2 linked regions of the Notamacropus eugenii genome follow. The protein of the gene in region 1 purifies or fractionates together with the protein of each later gene. This does not show direct contact. Links are inferred from orthologs where the notes say so. Each region holds a gene or a part of one and is shown on either strand. Other genes may lie near its edges. The genes, in order: TBC1D15 and UBXN8.

Region 1 (8,067 bases):
TTCTCCTAGGCTCTGTCAATAACAAAGATACGAACCATACAGACAATTCCCTGCCTGCTCAGGACCCAAGTGAACATTTTTGGATTGTAGATGAAACCTTTCTTGATCCCAACTACTAGTGCCCTCCCTTCCAAACAACCTTGTATTTAACTAACCTGCATTCATTAACATTTTTTGCTATATGTACTTATATATGCATTTCTCATCTCTCCCTTTAGAATGCAAACTCCTTGAAAGTTGTTTCTCCCATTAAACTGTGAGATCCTTGAGAGCAAGAACTGTTTTTTTCCCTATCTTTGCATCCCTAGGCATAGCAGTACCTGGGAAACAGACTGATCTGAGAGTTCGGACTGTTTCGTTCTTTTTAGTCAGAGTCTAAGAAACAGGAGTCCAAAACTGATACTGAATGGATGAAGATTAGTTCTCTCCTAATTTCTCAGCGGAGAATGATCTGATATTTGGACAGTCTTGTCCTCTTCCCCAGGGGTTTGGAAAGACTGTATATCAGGCCTGCAAAAACTGTGGGCCTCTGGCGGCTGGCCAAAGGATTGCCAGGCAGCCTGAGAAAGATGTAGAGGAAAACATATTCTACATTTTTCCCCAGGGCACTCCAAAATCCTTTGGCAGGCCACAGGTTGTGAGGGCCTGCTCTCTGTCACTGAATATTCCCTAGTCATAAAAGGGCTGAAAACTCCTGCAGAAGTCCAAACAAGGGGAGAGGAATATTCATAAAATGAAGCTTTAATGTATAAACACTTAAAACTAGTCATCGGTACTTTGCAATGTACTAACAGATATCTTCCTTTTTTCAAAGTGCTTTACTTACCGCCACTTTAAGGATTTATGTAGTACTTTATGGACTGAACAAAGCTTTCTTCCCAACAACCTGCTTAAGCAGCCAGTGTAAATTATTAGCCCCATTTTACAGATTAGGAAACAGATCTGGGAGTTTTATTGCTTTGCTAATGGCCATATGTGTCCTGCCAGAGAGAAAATTCAAACCCAGTGTCCTGACTCTTTTATTATCCCCATTTACAGGTGATAAAAATGGCACACAGAATGGAGATACCTCAGAGCCATGGTTACAGAGATCTCAATTTTCTAGATTCCGAGTCTTTACACTAAATTACAAAAGCCCCCACGTGGTTGAGAGTATTGCTATAAGGACAAACAACTTTAAATCACTTATTTGTCTTTCATTCTTTAAGAGCCCAATGTCATCACAGGTGGTGTCTGACTTATTCATGAACAGTATGTCAGGCCGAGCTTAGCAAAGTCATCATCCTTACTTTCTCCTCCAGAAAGTCAAGAAGACTTGGGATGGCCCAGGATACAAGTGAGTGGCCTTGGCCTTTCTAATTTAAGTCTTTCCCAGGGCTGTTTGTCTGAGTCAACTCTCATTTGATGACTAAAAGTCAGGTAAGAACTGAGACAAAAAATGGTCTAGTGTGCCATCATCACAAAAGTATCAATCTGGGAGGGAAAGACCCTCAGATTTTCTGACCTAATAGAAAACCATTGCCATTTACACTCATTTAAGCCAGCAAAACTAAACAATGAGCCAGAGAGGCTTGGGCTAGGGCCTATTGCTAGCCACTTTAAAGTCAGAGTGATTTGGGTTTAAAGCTTTACTCAAGTAGCTCCATTTGAAACAGAAATTAATCACTGCTAAAGTCTCTTTTTCCAGAGCTATATTTCAAGAAATCATAAATGAAAACTGAGAAATCTACACAGGACAAAAAATAAATCGTTCGCCTTCTGAAAACAAAAAAATAATAGTTTGGTTTTTTTTAATCTTGCTGCCGAAACTCAAAATCTTACAAAATATGACACCAAAAATTATATTCCGATGCACAAAGCACCCCCGTGCCAGGAAAGCGATGGCATCTTCCAGTAGGCATGTGTCTAGTGAAGAAAGGGAAGAAAGCCAGAGAACCAAAGATAAAGCATGTTCCTCTCTCCACCTGACATGTCAACAGGCATTTATTTATTAAGTAAAGGTAATCACAGACTTATTACCCAAGGAGACAATCTCAAGATGTTAAATTAGACACGTGTCTTTGGACTCGGCCTCCATGGGAACTAACAGCATATGTGTGACAAGGGTTTGGGTGTCTTCGGGGGTGGGGACCTAAAATGATTGACTGAAAGAAAAATTTAGGTAACCCACAACAAAATACTGTCCCAGAGGGGCTGAGGGGAAGGGCACCTTACTGAACACTGAGGACCGTACGTACTGACCCCAATTCCCGGGGTGTCGGACTGCCCCGCACACAGCGGGCCTGCGGCCTCCCTCGGTCAGCCCTCCCCAAAGCTGACCCCTGACCCAGAGGCCCCCCGGCCGCCCCACCGAGCACTGGGCCGAAGGAGGGACAAGAAGCCCAGCCGAGGAGGCAGCACGAGGAAGCGCAGCGAGGATCCGAGCGGAGGCTCACGGGACGGACTCAAAGCAGTCGCAGTCACAGCCCCAGACGACCCCCGCCCCCATCACCGGACACACCCCCTGGGCAAGGAGGGGAGGGGAGAGGGTGGCTCGGCCGCGGGGGATCACGGGAAGAGAAGGGACCCGACGGGCAACCCGCGAAAGAGAGAAAGGGGGAAGCCGGGCCCCGGAGGTTCATGGGAAGGGAAGGGAAGGAAGGGAAGGGGCTGGAAGCTCTACTAGCTAAAGAGAAGGGGCGCCCCAAGCGCAGAGGTTCACGGGCGAAGTTCTACACGCTCAAAGGAGGAGGGGGTGTAGGGAAAAACAGCTCGGCCGCGGAGGCCCACGGGAAGGGAAGGGGATGGGGCCGACGCAGGTACGGAAGCGGGGGGAGGGGGCAGCTGTCACCGCCACGTCCTCTTTCCCCTAAGTCCCGCCACCGGCTGGCCGGGCCAGGATTCGGAAGGGGGAGGGGAGGAAGGAAGAGCCTCCCGCCTCAGTCCAGCGAGGGGGGAGGGGAGGGCGTCCCCTCCCGCCGCCCCCTGGAGAAAATAAGAGGTGCCTTGGAGCCCCAGGGCCGTTATTTACCTTCCCGCTCCCGACACCCGCCGCCGCGGCCGCCATTTGTCCGCGCGTGCTTGTGATGACGTAGCAGCCTCTCACGTGCTTTGCTCCGACACACCACAACATCCGCCGAAACTAAGGGCGGAGGCGTGGGGGAGGGGCATAGAGAAGAGAACGATCTGCGCGTGCGTACTGGAGCTCTGTGGGGGAAGTAACCGTTCTCGCTTGGGGCGTGATTTGATTGGTCCTGGTGGATCGGGAGCCAGTATTAGGGGCCGTGTCAGTTTCCACACATCTCTCGCTTCAAATCCTTTTTCTCTACTTAACTGATTATCATCCTACTTCAAAAATCAATCAGTCCAACAAGATTTTTTAAAAAAACACTAAAGCTAAACAATCTTTAAATATTTATTAAGCGCTTCGCTACGTGCTGGGAACATAACTGCAAAAATGAAACCGTCCAGTGCTTACCTTAATGAGTGCCTTGCGTAGAGTAGACGTTTAATAAATGCTTGTGGACTTCCCTTCGAGTGTGGGAGAAAGAATGACAAAGCATTTAGGAAGTCTTTATGTTCAAAGGTACGTACTAAGGGCTGAGGATACAAGTAGAGAAGACAATCCCTGCTCTAGGGACCTGTGTTCTAATGGGGGACATAACACTTAGGAGAGGTTTCGTTTGTAAGCTGCTATATCCAGCAAAATTTATCATCATGACTGGTCCCCAGAAATAACTTAATTTCACCATTAGGAACCCCCCCCCAATTCTCAAGGAGGTTACGGACTAATAGGGGGAAATAACATTTATGGAAGATTTCAGCGGCAAGGGAGAAGGAAATGTCCCATGGTCGTTAAAGTGCAGAGGTGACACCTCTGATTTAATTTCCAGTGATTTGGTTCTGATGTGGAGCCATTGCTATTCCAAAGACTAGTCCAACTGGGGGTCCTGATCTGTCTCCATCAGAGTTCTCAGGGAGATGGTGGACCTGCAACTTCTGGATGAAGGAACTCCAGCAACGCACATCAGTTCCTTGGCAGCAACTGGTACAATGGAAATAATATGGGATGGGAGAATTGGAAGGGTTCAAATCCTGGCCCAGCTGTTTGTTAGCTGTGTGATCCTGAGTAATCCATTTAAACGTCTTTGAACCTCAGTTTCCTCAACTATGAAGTGAGGGGCACTAGACTGGGTGACCTCTGAGGTCTGTTCAAGCTCTAAAGCTACGATCCTAAATTTGTAATATTTGAAAGTTGTCTGGGACACGTGGAGAGGCAGAATGATTGCCCAGGGTCATACAGCCATCCTGTATCAGAGATGGGATGTGAAGCTTCAAGGCCAGCTGTTATACCATGCTACGTCTCAAATAAATTTTTGAGCTAGACCTTAGAAAATCCACCTCTGTTCTCTTACAAATGAAGAAACTGAGGCTCCAAGAAGTTAAATTCAGACTCTTATCACCTCTTTTCAGGATCAATGCAGTAGCATCCTAATATGTTTCCCTGCCTCTTCTCTTTCCCTACCTCAGCTTATCCTCCACATCACTACTAAAATGATTTTCTTTAATGCAAAGGTCAGACCATGTTACTCTCCTCTTCAAGGAACTGCCTCTTGTTTTGTCAAATATAAACTTCTGTTTAAAATTTAAAACCCTTCACGATGTGGATTCCAACCTACCTTTCTAGGTTTCTCTATATGATTTCCATGATCTATCTTCACGATCTATTACCCACTGAACCACATTCACATAAGCTCTTCCCTATTTATGGAATGTTGTCTCTTCTGGCTCTGCTCCTTAGAATTCCTAATGGCTTTCAAAGCTCAGTTCACAAGTGCCTCCTCTGGCATTGAGGCCTTCCCTGATGCCACCCCCCCTCCAACTGCCAGTTACTCCCCCTAAAATTAACTTGTATGTATTTGCATAGTTCAGATGTGTGTGTGTGTGCATATATATATACATATACATAAATATGCACATATAGATGGGTAGAGCTAGAGATATCACACTAGGTGCTCTGAAATGTACAAAAATGAACAAGAAGAGATGGTCTCCACCCTCAAGGACCTTACAATCTAATAGGAGATCTAAGTACAAAAATAAATATAAGACAATATGTGATAAGTACCATTTGAGTTAAAGAAACTAAATGCAGGAGTATAGAGAGTAGAAACACTTCTGACTGGGTGGCAATGTAATAGGAGGCTTTTTAGTTTAGCCTAGAAAGTCTGATAGGATTTCTAGATGCAAAGACTGGCCAAGACACATTCCAGACTGAGGAAATAGACTTCCTCTCTTATTCCTCAGAGTATCAGTCACAAACCTTTTGCTTACTCCACCCATCACACTTAAAGCACATGACTTGGCCTCTGGCTTGAGTAGGAAGATTGAGGCCATCTGTGCCAGTCTGATAAGACCAGCTGAGTGCTGTATTATTTCTGTCAAACCCAGCAAAACTTTTTCTCAAGTATTCATGTTTGAACCAAGAAAGGAATTCACACTCACTATTTGGTCAATCAAGCATATATTTTGACAAGGATACTCAATACAAACTTGGGCATTCTGCCCATAGTCACCTGTGGCTCTTAGATTCCCCAAACCCTGGGGTAACTTACTGTCTACTTCAGATGGGAACCAGCCAGCTTCCATGAAGTGGCACAATATTCAATTCAGAGTAAATAACTAGGCAGGGTTTTTAGCCCCAGGAACATCAGTGTCACAAGTCTAGGTATTACCAAGACTACCAGGCTTCTTCTTTGAACTTGGTCCGGTTCAAGGAAAGGTGATATGGTGAGCTAATACAAGTCTGACTACATCACTTTCCTGCTAAAGAATCTTCAGGGATTCTCTGTTGTCTCTGGGATAAAATACAAACACCTTTGTCATTAAAAGCCTTCACAGTCAGCTCGTCTCTCTTTCCATGTTTAATTCCTATTATTCCTACTCACCCACCCTCCATCTTCACACATAATATATTCTTTGACTTTGTAAGGAATGTATACTTCAGACCTAGACTGTTCCCGGTCCAAAGAAGAATCCCAAACTCCATGGAAGGCTCAGTTCCAATCCCTTGTTCTCCAAGAGGCCTCTCTTGGTCCCCCACCCCCACTGTGGGTGCTACTCCTTTCCCATACTACCAAAGACTCCATAGTCATTGTTTGTTGTTGTTGTTTGTTTTTTGGAGGCAATCCAGGGTTAAGTGACTTTCCCAGGGTCATACAGATAGTAAGTGTCTGAAGCTGCATTTGTACTCAAGTCCTTCTGACTCCAGGGCTAGTGTTCTACCCACTGCACCACCTAGCTGCCCCCATGGTCACTTGGTACTTATGTTCTATGTGCGTTTCTTCCAACAACATGTTTTCCCCAATAGAAAGCAAACTGCTTCAGGGAAAGGACTATTTTGTCTTTAACTTTGTTATCCCCAGCACCTAACACGTTGCTTGGCACATAGAAGGGCAGATCAGAGCTTGTTGAATTGAATTGTATATCTTTTCTAGAACTAGGAGAAAACAAGATCCTGTAGGTCCTAGTGCAGTGTTAGCACATTTAAACTTTAGCACTGTTTAAGCTTTAACTGCGTAAAAATGCAGTAAGATTTTGGGAATACCTCATAGATCCCTGAACCAGTATACATTTAATATTATATCTTATTCCTAAGCAAAAGTATTTTAGGGAGTTTCAAAAATGGGAACCAGGTCATATAATTCTCCAGTAAGGTCACCCAGATAAGATTATGGTTTTGCAGTCACGTTACACACAAATTAGTTATGGAATGAAACACACATGGGGAGAAAGATAGGCATTACATTAGTCATCATGTGCCTCAGAGTGAGGGTCTTATCTGGAACAGATGAGGGAAGCAAACACAAGAAAGGAGCATTTCCAGGAAATGGCTAGGTTGGTGCCTATATGCGGGGGCATGACCAAGCAGTCAGGATATGAAAGTATTCTGTCAAAAGTTGCAAAGGTCTATAAGCAGCCATGTGGCACAGTGGATAAAGCAATGGACCTGGTGTCAGGAAGATCTGAATGCAAAACCCACCTCAGAGACTTAATAGCTATGTGACCGTGCAAAGGTGATTCACTGCCTCAGTTTCCCCAACTATAAAATTGGAATAATAATAGCACCTACCTTATTGGGTTGTTGTGATGATCAAATGAGATAATATTTTTTAAGTGCTTAAAGGCACAGCGCCTAGCACATAGTAGGTGCTTCTTTCTTTTCTTCCTGTATTGGCCAGGATCGCTAGACAATGACATGATCCAATAGGAGCTCCTCGATTCCCTTGTCCGTACCTCAGAACTTCTCAACAGCATCAGCTATCCTCACCTTCCCTTCTTTCTCTAAGAAAGAATTGTTTTTACTCCTTGCTAAAACTAACGGTTTTAATCTATCTCCATGGTTGCGTACTGTCCTGCTTCCTTCAGATTTTTGCTCCAGCATCCACCCTTTCTCTCTCATGCATCTTCCATCTCTTCTCTGGCTTCAGGTTTCTCCAATCCCTAATCCTGAAGAAATCTTTTCTTGACCCTTCTAGCCCTTTCAAATATGCCATTTCTTCTTTTTCCTCCTGTTGCTTGTCATATTTCTTTAAAAAGTTGTTTTGTGACATAAATCAGAAGTAAGAAAATAATCTATACACAGACCGCAACAATACATATAGAATAACAATCACAAAATAATCAAAAATTAATGATACGAATTGCAGAAAGCAAACTTGGCCCCAAAGAAGGGATATGAGAAATCGTCTTTGCAAACACAACTAGTCCATGGGATGGGATATTGCATGTATTGTCAGATTTTTTTTTCAATGTTTTGATCAGTTTTGCTGGATTTCCCCCCATTTTTTTAATGTCTTTGTCATAATGCATGGCTTTCTGGGAGGTAAAAGGGAAGGGATAGAGGGAAAAAGTAAGACAAAGTTAAAAAACAAACCTTATCAAGTTGATTAGGTTATTTGTTCATACACTGTCAAGGAGCTGTTATCTCAGAATGAATGGTCATAGCTTTTACACAAACATAGGAGGAAAATTAGGAAGAAATAATGACATCAGAAGGAAGAAATGATTTAGAGAGAAAGATGACAA
Region 2 (7,791 bases), on another chromosome or scaffold:
ACATAGTGAGGACTGTCTTTTCACCTGTCTTGGATCCCTAGTGCCCAACACCATATCTGGCACATACTTGGGATTATTTTTCCACCTGTCTTGGATTCCCAGTGACCAACACTATGCCTGGTACATAGTGGGGACTGTCTTTTCACCTGTCTTGGATCCCCAGTGCCCAACACTATGCCTGGCACATACTTGGGACTGTTTTTCCACCTGTCTTGGATCCCCAGTGCCCAACACCATGCCTGGTACATAATGGGGACCGTCTTTTCACCTGTCTTGGATCCCCAGTGCCCAACACGATGCCTGGTACATAGTGAGGACTGTCTTTTCACCTGTCTTGGATCCCCAGTGCCCAACATCATGCCTGGCACATACTGGGGACTGTTTTTCCACCTGTCTTGGATCCCCAGTGCCCAGCCCTATTAAGAGGAATTTAATAGATGCTTGTAGACTTGACTTTTTCACTGCCTTCACTCTAGACCAAGCCCTCACTGGTCTCTCCTCACCATCCTTCCTACATGGGGGCTGCCACTGTCACTCCCATCATGTCACCTACCCTGCCCAAACACAGGCACATGCCCTGACAGGTGGCAGGGAAGCCGGTCACACCAGTGGGTGGCCCATACAGAATTCTCAGAGGGCAGCGATCGCTTTGTTCTTCGGCTCTGTACCCCCAGCACCCAGCTCAGGGCTGGACCACCAGGTTCACTTTACAATATTGGCATTTCCTCAGTCTTATTCTTTCAGGATCAATTTCATGTGTTCTTATACCTGAACACAGAAACGTCCCAGGACTAGGGGCATGTTCAGTAATCCATGGAGGCACTACCCATGAAGGCTTGGCCCAGGCCAAGTCCTGGGAGTCCTGGGAGACAAGGGACCAGAGCTGTGGGGACAGCTGGGGATAATGCTGCCTAAGGTTCCCAGGAGAGATTGGGGAACAAGGAAGGAAGACAGTATTTACACAGGTAGAAACAGTCTGGGTATGACAGACTCTGGTTAGCCTCTCCAGACAAGGGTTTGATTTCCTGGCAGTGGGTAGACAGTAACCCTGTGTGAACCCTCCCCTCACATAGGAGGGGGTCCCTCCCCCAACCACGGCCCCATCCCCAGCCAGGCAGCAGTTCTGTGGGGCTACCTCCTCCCTCCCTGTCAGATCACCAGTCTGTGCTCTGGGGCAGTGACCAGGAAAGAAGAGCTCCACACCCTCATTTTTTATCTTGGGTGGGATGAATGAGTCACACAGGACCAGGGAATGAGGAAGGGCTTTGATGGTCTCTTAGAGCTTTTCACATTCCCTTACCCTCCAAGGCCTCCTGAGCCGCCATTTATGGAGAGGGCCACCCTGCCCCAGCAATCCTTGAGCCAGGCTCCCCAGCTCCTTGCTCCCTCACCCTTCTTATGCAGCAGTCTTGTAGATTCTTCCTCCCCACCTTCTCTCCATCTCCCCCCTGCCTCTTCAGACTTCACTGCTCCTCAGAGACTGTAACAGGGGTGGATAATTCTAGGGGAGTCCCCTCCCCCATCGAGCCCTGGCCTTGCCTCTCTGGGGTATGGGATTGTGAACCGGGGAAAGCCTTCTCCCAGTTCCAAGGGCTCAAATGCACAGCAGAGGTGGGGGCTAAGGGGGCCACTGGACGCCTGCAACAGTGAATAGGGTAGATGATGAGAGCCAAGCCAAGGCAGGTGGACCCACAGAGTTCAGGGACCTGAGGGAAGGGAAGAGATCCATGCAGGAGGGACCATCTGCTGGGAATGGAAGGAAGGCTATGGTCCAGCATCCTGAAAGGTGGGAAGGCCCAGAAGAAGCTATCACCTTTCTCCACCATGTTTATTGGGTGTCCTGGCCTTTGTCAGGAGTCACAGAATTTGAGAAATGGAAGGGACCAGCCACTGTGGAAAAGAACATGGAAGTGTCCCGGAAGTCACTAACTTGGGTATGCTCTGGGACTGAGAGACACCACAGCTAGGTGAGATAGAGAGAGAGACAAAGAGGCAGAGAGAGAGAGAGAGAGAGAGAGAGAGAGAGAGAGAGAGAGAGGAAGAGAGAGAGACAGAGACAGACAGAGACAGAGAGACAGAGAGAGACAGAGAAGGAGAGAGAGCAAAGAACAGGAAAAGGATCCCTGGGAATGGCCAAGCACGTGGCGATGGAACACCAAGGTGCTGTAAGAATGATGCTGTGCCTGTTTCTGCTTTCACAGCACAGCTAATTCAGAAATAGGTTTTACATAATCGCACATGTGTAACCTGTAGCAAACTGCCTGCCATCTTAGGGAGGGAGAGGGGAGGAGAGAGAGGGGGACAATTAGAAACTCAAAACCTTATAATGCATGCAAAAAACTGCCTTGAAAAACAATGAACTACTAAGAGAGGATGCAGGGTCTGGTTTCAGAGAAGCCCGAGGAGATTGGTACAAACAGAGGCAGAACCAACTGAAGGTTCTTCCTGGCATCTCGCAGCCCCCAGCTGCCCTGGCTCTGCCTGCTAAGACCAGGCAGACAAAGGTTGGTCCCTCTTTCATGGCTGTAAGCGACACTCTCTGGCCCCGAGATCCCTTTTCCAGGATCACCCTTTCCTTTAAGATCTCTAAACCAGGCCTGCCCCGTGCTAATTGCCCCTCCTGGACACTCTCCAGCTGGCCAACTTCCTTCTCAAACTCAGGAGCCCCCATCCCCAAGCATGATACTTCAGGGAGGGCAGAGGACAGAGGGATCATCACCTCCCTCTTGGGGACTGGGGGGGGGGGGTGGCAGCTCTCTCTTGACCCTTCCCAAGAGAGTGCCAGCTTCTCAGTCTGCCATGTGCCCATCTTCCTCCCTCTGCCCATACCATTTCCCTGTTCTCATTCTATGTTCTCCCCAACAGTGCAGCTCCAAAACAGCCTGCCCAGCTCCTAGCCTGGACCCCTGAGCCCACCAGAACGTCACTCTTTCCTTCTAACTTCTGACTTAAGCAAAGACCATCCCCCCAGGGAGGTGACTGCTTCACCCAAGGTCACAGGTGGGTCAGAGATCTAGCTAGAACGGAGAGGGACCTCGGAGGTCATCTTGGCTGGCTTCTCTCATTTTACAGAAGAGGAAACTGAGGCCCAGGGAAGGGCACAGGGGCAAACAGCAGAGTTGGGAACAAACGCAATTCTCCACTGAACATCACAATCTACATTCTACACTACTCCTTTGGGCCTCAGTTTGCTCGTCTGTAAAATGGGCTGGGGAAGAGGGTCATGGGGAGTCCAACAAAGCTGAACAACAGAACCTGAGGTCAGGATGGGTGATCTTCGAGGTTCCCCAGGCCCTCCCAGGGGGAAGAAAGCTGGGGCCCCGAGGGAGGAGGGAAGAGTGACTCAAGCTGGCAGTTGGCCTGCTGTGGTTCAGTGTGGCAACAGCCCGAGGGGCCAGGCAGGGGCTGAGTCTCTGGAGATGCCTCAAAGAGGCACTCTGGGGAGCAGGGAAGCAAGGCACGACCTTAGCCAAGCCTCTACCTAGAGCCCAAGTGCAGGCCGTGCAGGACAAAGGGCACTGAAGGACCCCCCCCCTCCGTGGGCTTGGTTAACAGAGGTCAGCTCTCCTTCCTTGACAGGGCCCCAGGAAGGAGGGAAAACAGCCCCTGTGCACAAGACATGTATACAACGTGCACAGGACATATATACAATGTGCACAAAACGTATACAATGTGCACAAGACATGTATACAATGTATACAAGACAGATACAATGTATACAAAGTAAGTGGAGAAGGGGGCCTGGAGTCAGACGGTAGAGACGGACCTGATCTTGGGACATTGGTCCCTCCGTCCGTCTGTCAGTCAACAAACATTGATGAAGAGCCCGCTGCGCTGTGCTAACAGACAAGTCCAGAGAGAAGCGGAGGGGGGGGGACCCTTCGCCCGTCTGCCTCAGTTTCCTCGTCTGTCAAAAGGAGCAGGACAAGGGACGCAGGGGGGGCCCCCAGGCCCTCCCTTCCACGGCTGCCTCTGTACAGTGCGGGGTTCGGCCTCTGCCGCCGCCCTCCCAGCCCTTCCCCCTCCCGCGGCGGCCCGGGTCTCGCACCGCCCCCCTTCCCGCACTCACGCAGGTGCCCCCCAGCTTGTGGCTCTCCACCACGGCGGCGCGGGCTCCGAGCTCGGCCGCACGCCGGGCGCTGGCCAGGCCGCCCGAGCCACCGCCGATGACCAGGAAGTCGTAGGTGGCCGATGGCTCCATGGCCCCCGCCACCCCGCGGCGCCCGCACTCGAGGGCCGCAAGCAGCAGCCGGGGCCAGCGCCGCGCCACGCAGGTCACCACACCGGCCACCACGCCAAGACCCACGCCGGTGCCGCCGCTCCACTGCCGTCCTTCCGCGCGGCAGCCCGTGCTGGGGATGGGAAGAGGCGGGGCGGGGCCAGGGACGGGGCGGGGCGGGGCGGGGGCGGGGTCCCGGCGCTGCAACTTCAGCGTGACTCAGCAGGTGCCAGAGCCCCGCCTCTCCCCCCCCTCCCCACCATGGGAGGGGGAGGGGGCAACTGAGACAGTCTGACTTTGGGCCCGGGCGAGCCCCACCCCCTCCGCTCCCCCTCCCCCTCCTCCCCGAGCTCCCGCCTTTCCCCTTCGGGACGCCACCATGTCTATAAACCAAGTGGCAAACTCATTTCCACACTGACGTCCCGGAGGCTTTACGCCTCCTCTGCGGGGGTTCCCCCCCTTCCTCCCTCAGATGGTAGCAACCGGGCAGTGGGCGGGACGGAGGCGGCACGGAGGAGGGAGGGGCCCCGCCAGACAGAGGCGCGGGGGGCGGGGCATGGAGAGGGGCGGGGCCGCGCTTGCGCTCGGGACGCGGCCTGAGGCGCCATGGCGGCCCGCGCGGTGTGGCTGCTGTTGGCCATCCCGGCCGTGCCCCTGCTCTGCCTGCAGCTACGGAGCGCGGGCTTCAACCCAGGTAAGGCGCCGCCTTTCTCCTCCGGTGTCCCTCCGCCTTCCCCCGTCCTCGTGCGGACTACAGTTCCCAGCATGCTCAGCCACCCACTCGCACGGCAAGGCGTGCTGGGAAGGAGGCGGGGTCACTCCTGGCGGCCCCGCCCCCGCACGGTTCCGCCCCTTCCGCCGTCGTCGGTCGTGCCTCGTGCGCTTTCCCTCGCTCGATGGTCGGGCGTCCACGTTGTTCCGCGCGAGGGCTTGGTGCGCATCGGCGGTGGGAGTCCTGGCCCCAAGGGCTGTCATGACCTTCGTTCCGCCATGTCCTTCCAAAATGGCGGCCCTTCGGAAGCTCCCCCGACCATGTACGAGTGTGCCTGTGCTTCCGCGTCCCCTCCAGCATGGACCGGTGCCGCTTCATTGCGGTGTTTCAGAGGGGGTGGCTCGTTCATATAAATTATCACGTGTGATCATATGTATCGCGGCATTACGGTACCGTATTAACGTGAATCGTTAGCGGCGTAGCGGTTTGGGTAACTTCTTCCCCTGGCTCTCCAACACCACCGTGATCCAGGCGGGCCGCGCTCAGAAGTGCGCCCCCTGCTCCAGACCGGGGGTTCAGTCCTTCTTGGGGCTGGCCACGCCTGCGGAGCCCTGCTCAGAGCGCCATTCGAGGTCGGTAATAAAGCAAAGCGATTGTGTTGAAGCCGATTGGTCAGAACGTTGGAAAGCCACGTGCTCAGAAGCCCGGGTAGGCCCCGAGCTGGGAGGAGAGCGGCGTGCTGAGGGGCCCGGGGCGGGGGGCGCTGGGCGGGGCCTGGAGGGTGGGGCCTGGAGGCCTGGGCGGGGCCTGGAAGGTGGGGCCTGGAGGCCTGGGTGGGGCCTGGAGGGTGGGGCCTGGAGGCCTGGGCAGACCCTGGGGGGGGCCTGGGCGGGGCCTGGAGGGTGGGGCCTGGGGGCTTGGGCAGGGCCTGGGGGCTTGGGCAGGGCCTGGAGGGTGGGGTGGGGCCTGGGGGTGGGGCCTGGAGGCCTGGGCGGGGCCTGGAAGGTGGGGCCTGGAGGCCTGGGTGGGGCCTGGAGGGTGGGGCCTGGAGGCCTGGGCAGACCCTGGGGGGGGCCTGGGCGGGGCCTGGAGGGTGGGGCCTGGGGGCTTGGGCAGGGCCTGGAGGGTGGGGTGGGGCCTGGGGGTGGGGCCTGGAGGCCTGGGCGGGGCCTGGAGGGTGGGGCCTGGAGGCCTGGGCGGGGCCTGGAGGATGGGGCCTGGAGGCCTGGGCAGACCCTGGGGGGGGCCTGGGCGGGGCCTGGAGGCTTGGGCGGGGCCTGGAGGGTGGGGTGGGGCCTGGGGGTGGGGCCTGGAGGCCTGGGCGGGGCCTGGAGGGTGGGGCCTGGAGGCCTGGGCGGGGCCTGGAGGGTGGGGCCTGGAGGCCTGGGCGGGGCCTGGAAGGTGGGGCCTGGAGGCCTGGGTGGGGCCTGGAGGGTGGGGCCTGGAGGCCTGGACGGACCCTAGAGAGGAGGAGGATGGAGGCCCTTGCTCGAAAAGCCCCAGCAGAAGACCTGGGAAGGCCAAGTCCACCAAGGGAGCTGCGTGGGAAGAGAAGGGGAAGGGTTATCGCAGGAAACAAGCAGCGAAAAGAGCCCGAGTGCGCAGGCGCGGCTGGGTCAGCCAGGGGCGCCCGCAGGAGGAGCACCCAGAAAGGAGACGGGGGCTGGAGAGAGGACATGGGGATCCGAGGAGCCAGGTGGCTGAATGTCCCGCTGGTGGCCGCGAACGAGTGCTGCTCGAGCCCCGAGAGGATGTGCCCACCCTGGGGCGGGCCGAGACACGGAACCGAACCGCAGACCGGAGCTTTGGTCCGCATTTCCCCCCTTCCACATCAGGACAACAGTCTGCCCTTTGTGTCTATGGTGGGAACGTGGCTGGTTTTCTGGGTTTTTAGCCCAATTTAGTGGCCGTTCACTTTGCGCTGAATGATTCTGGATGCGTCTCCGTGACTTGACCGGAAGCGGGTCCTCCTCCGAGTGCTTGAATCCAGCATCGTTTGCCCCGGTGGGATCCGCTGGTCCCCCCCAGGCACTCCCCTTCCCGCTCTCTGGATCAGGTGGTTTGGGAAGAGGGTGCCTTCTCCGCTCCTTGGCACACTGGACGTGTAGACGCGGCTCCCTCAGCCTTGTACCGGCCGCCCTTCGCAGCCAGACTCCTCGGAGAAAGCCGTCTGCCCTTGCCCTCTCCACGCGGTCCCCTCCTCCTCTTCTACCTGTGGCAGGCTCTTTGATCTCACCTTAATGGCCAGATCCCACGGCCTTTGCTCACCTCTCATCCTTTGCTTTCTCACAGGATGGAAGGATGTCCTTCTGCTGGGTGGCCGGGGTCTGCTCTTTCTGGCTGTCCTGGCTTTAATTCTTTTGATGACCACCCCGTGGCTTACATCTCCAGCTCCATCCAACACGTGTTTGACAGGTAAGCTGATGCCACATGACGAGTTCACTTAGGATTTCCGATTCTCTGGCTTTTCCCGGCATGTGCTTTGTCCAATACGTTGCTACTCTGTGACCACGGACAGAGAATGGATGCTCTGGGCCGCCATTTCTTCATCTTCAGAGATGCCTGGGTGGGACCATATCATTCCTCCCCTTTCTCACCTTGGTGATGCCCTGCCGTGGTTTAGGCAGAGTGACCAGTAGAAGCTCGGAGCCACGTAGTGGAAAGAAAGCACTGCCATCTCCCACAGGCCCATTTTAAGATGGGTTATGGATGTCAGCAGTTGTGGTGAGGCCAGCTTCATACTTCGCACATGATATATGTACCAAGAAGGTATGTTCAGGATGTGGTCAAAGGTTATGAAGCCTTGGGCAAGAAAACAAAGATGGAAGATAGAGGGCACAGGTTGTGCTTGTTTCCTCAC

What was found.
Region 2: the proteins of TBC1D15 (region 1) and UBXN8 purify together in Homo sapiens (affinity purification with mass spectrometry; 3 studies listed by BioGRID and IntAct, counting the BioPlex papers as one, with this or other methods). This does not show direct contact. The link is inferred for Notamacropus eugenii from reciprocal best matches to the Homo sapiens genes TBC1D15 and UBXN8.

Annotation. Positions count from the first base shown.
Region 1 is NC_092874.1:249,722,877-249,730,943, reverse strand, and holds the start of TBC1D15 (TBC1 domain family member 15), read right to left. Parts: upstream 3,125-8,067; 5' UTR 3,113-3,124; coding exon 3,011-3,112; intron 2,487-3,010; exon of another isoform or gene 2,242-2,486; intron 1-2,241. UniProt on the Homo sapiens protein: Acts as a GTPase activating protein for RAB7A. Does not act on RAB4, RAB5 or RAB6.
Region 2 is NC_092878.1:167,289,742-167,297,532, reverse strand, and holds the start of UBXN8 (UBX domain-containing protein 8), read left to right. Parts: upstream 1-4,755; 5' UTR 4,756-4,825; coding exon 4,826-4,913; intron 4,914-5,058; exon of another isoform or gene 5,059-5,639; intron 5,640-7,223; coding exon 7,224-7,346; intron 7,347-7,791. Other genes in the region: GSR (glutathione reductase, mitochondrial), read right to left, coding at 4,070-4,201. UniProt on the Homo sapiens protein: Involved in endoplasmic reticulum-associated degradation (ERAD) for misfolded lumenal proteins, possibly by tethering VCP to the endoplasmic reticulum membrane. May play a role in reproduction.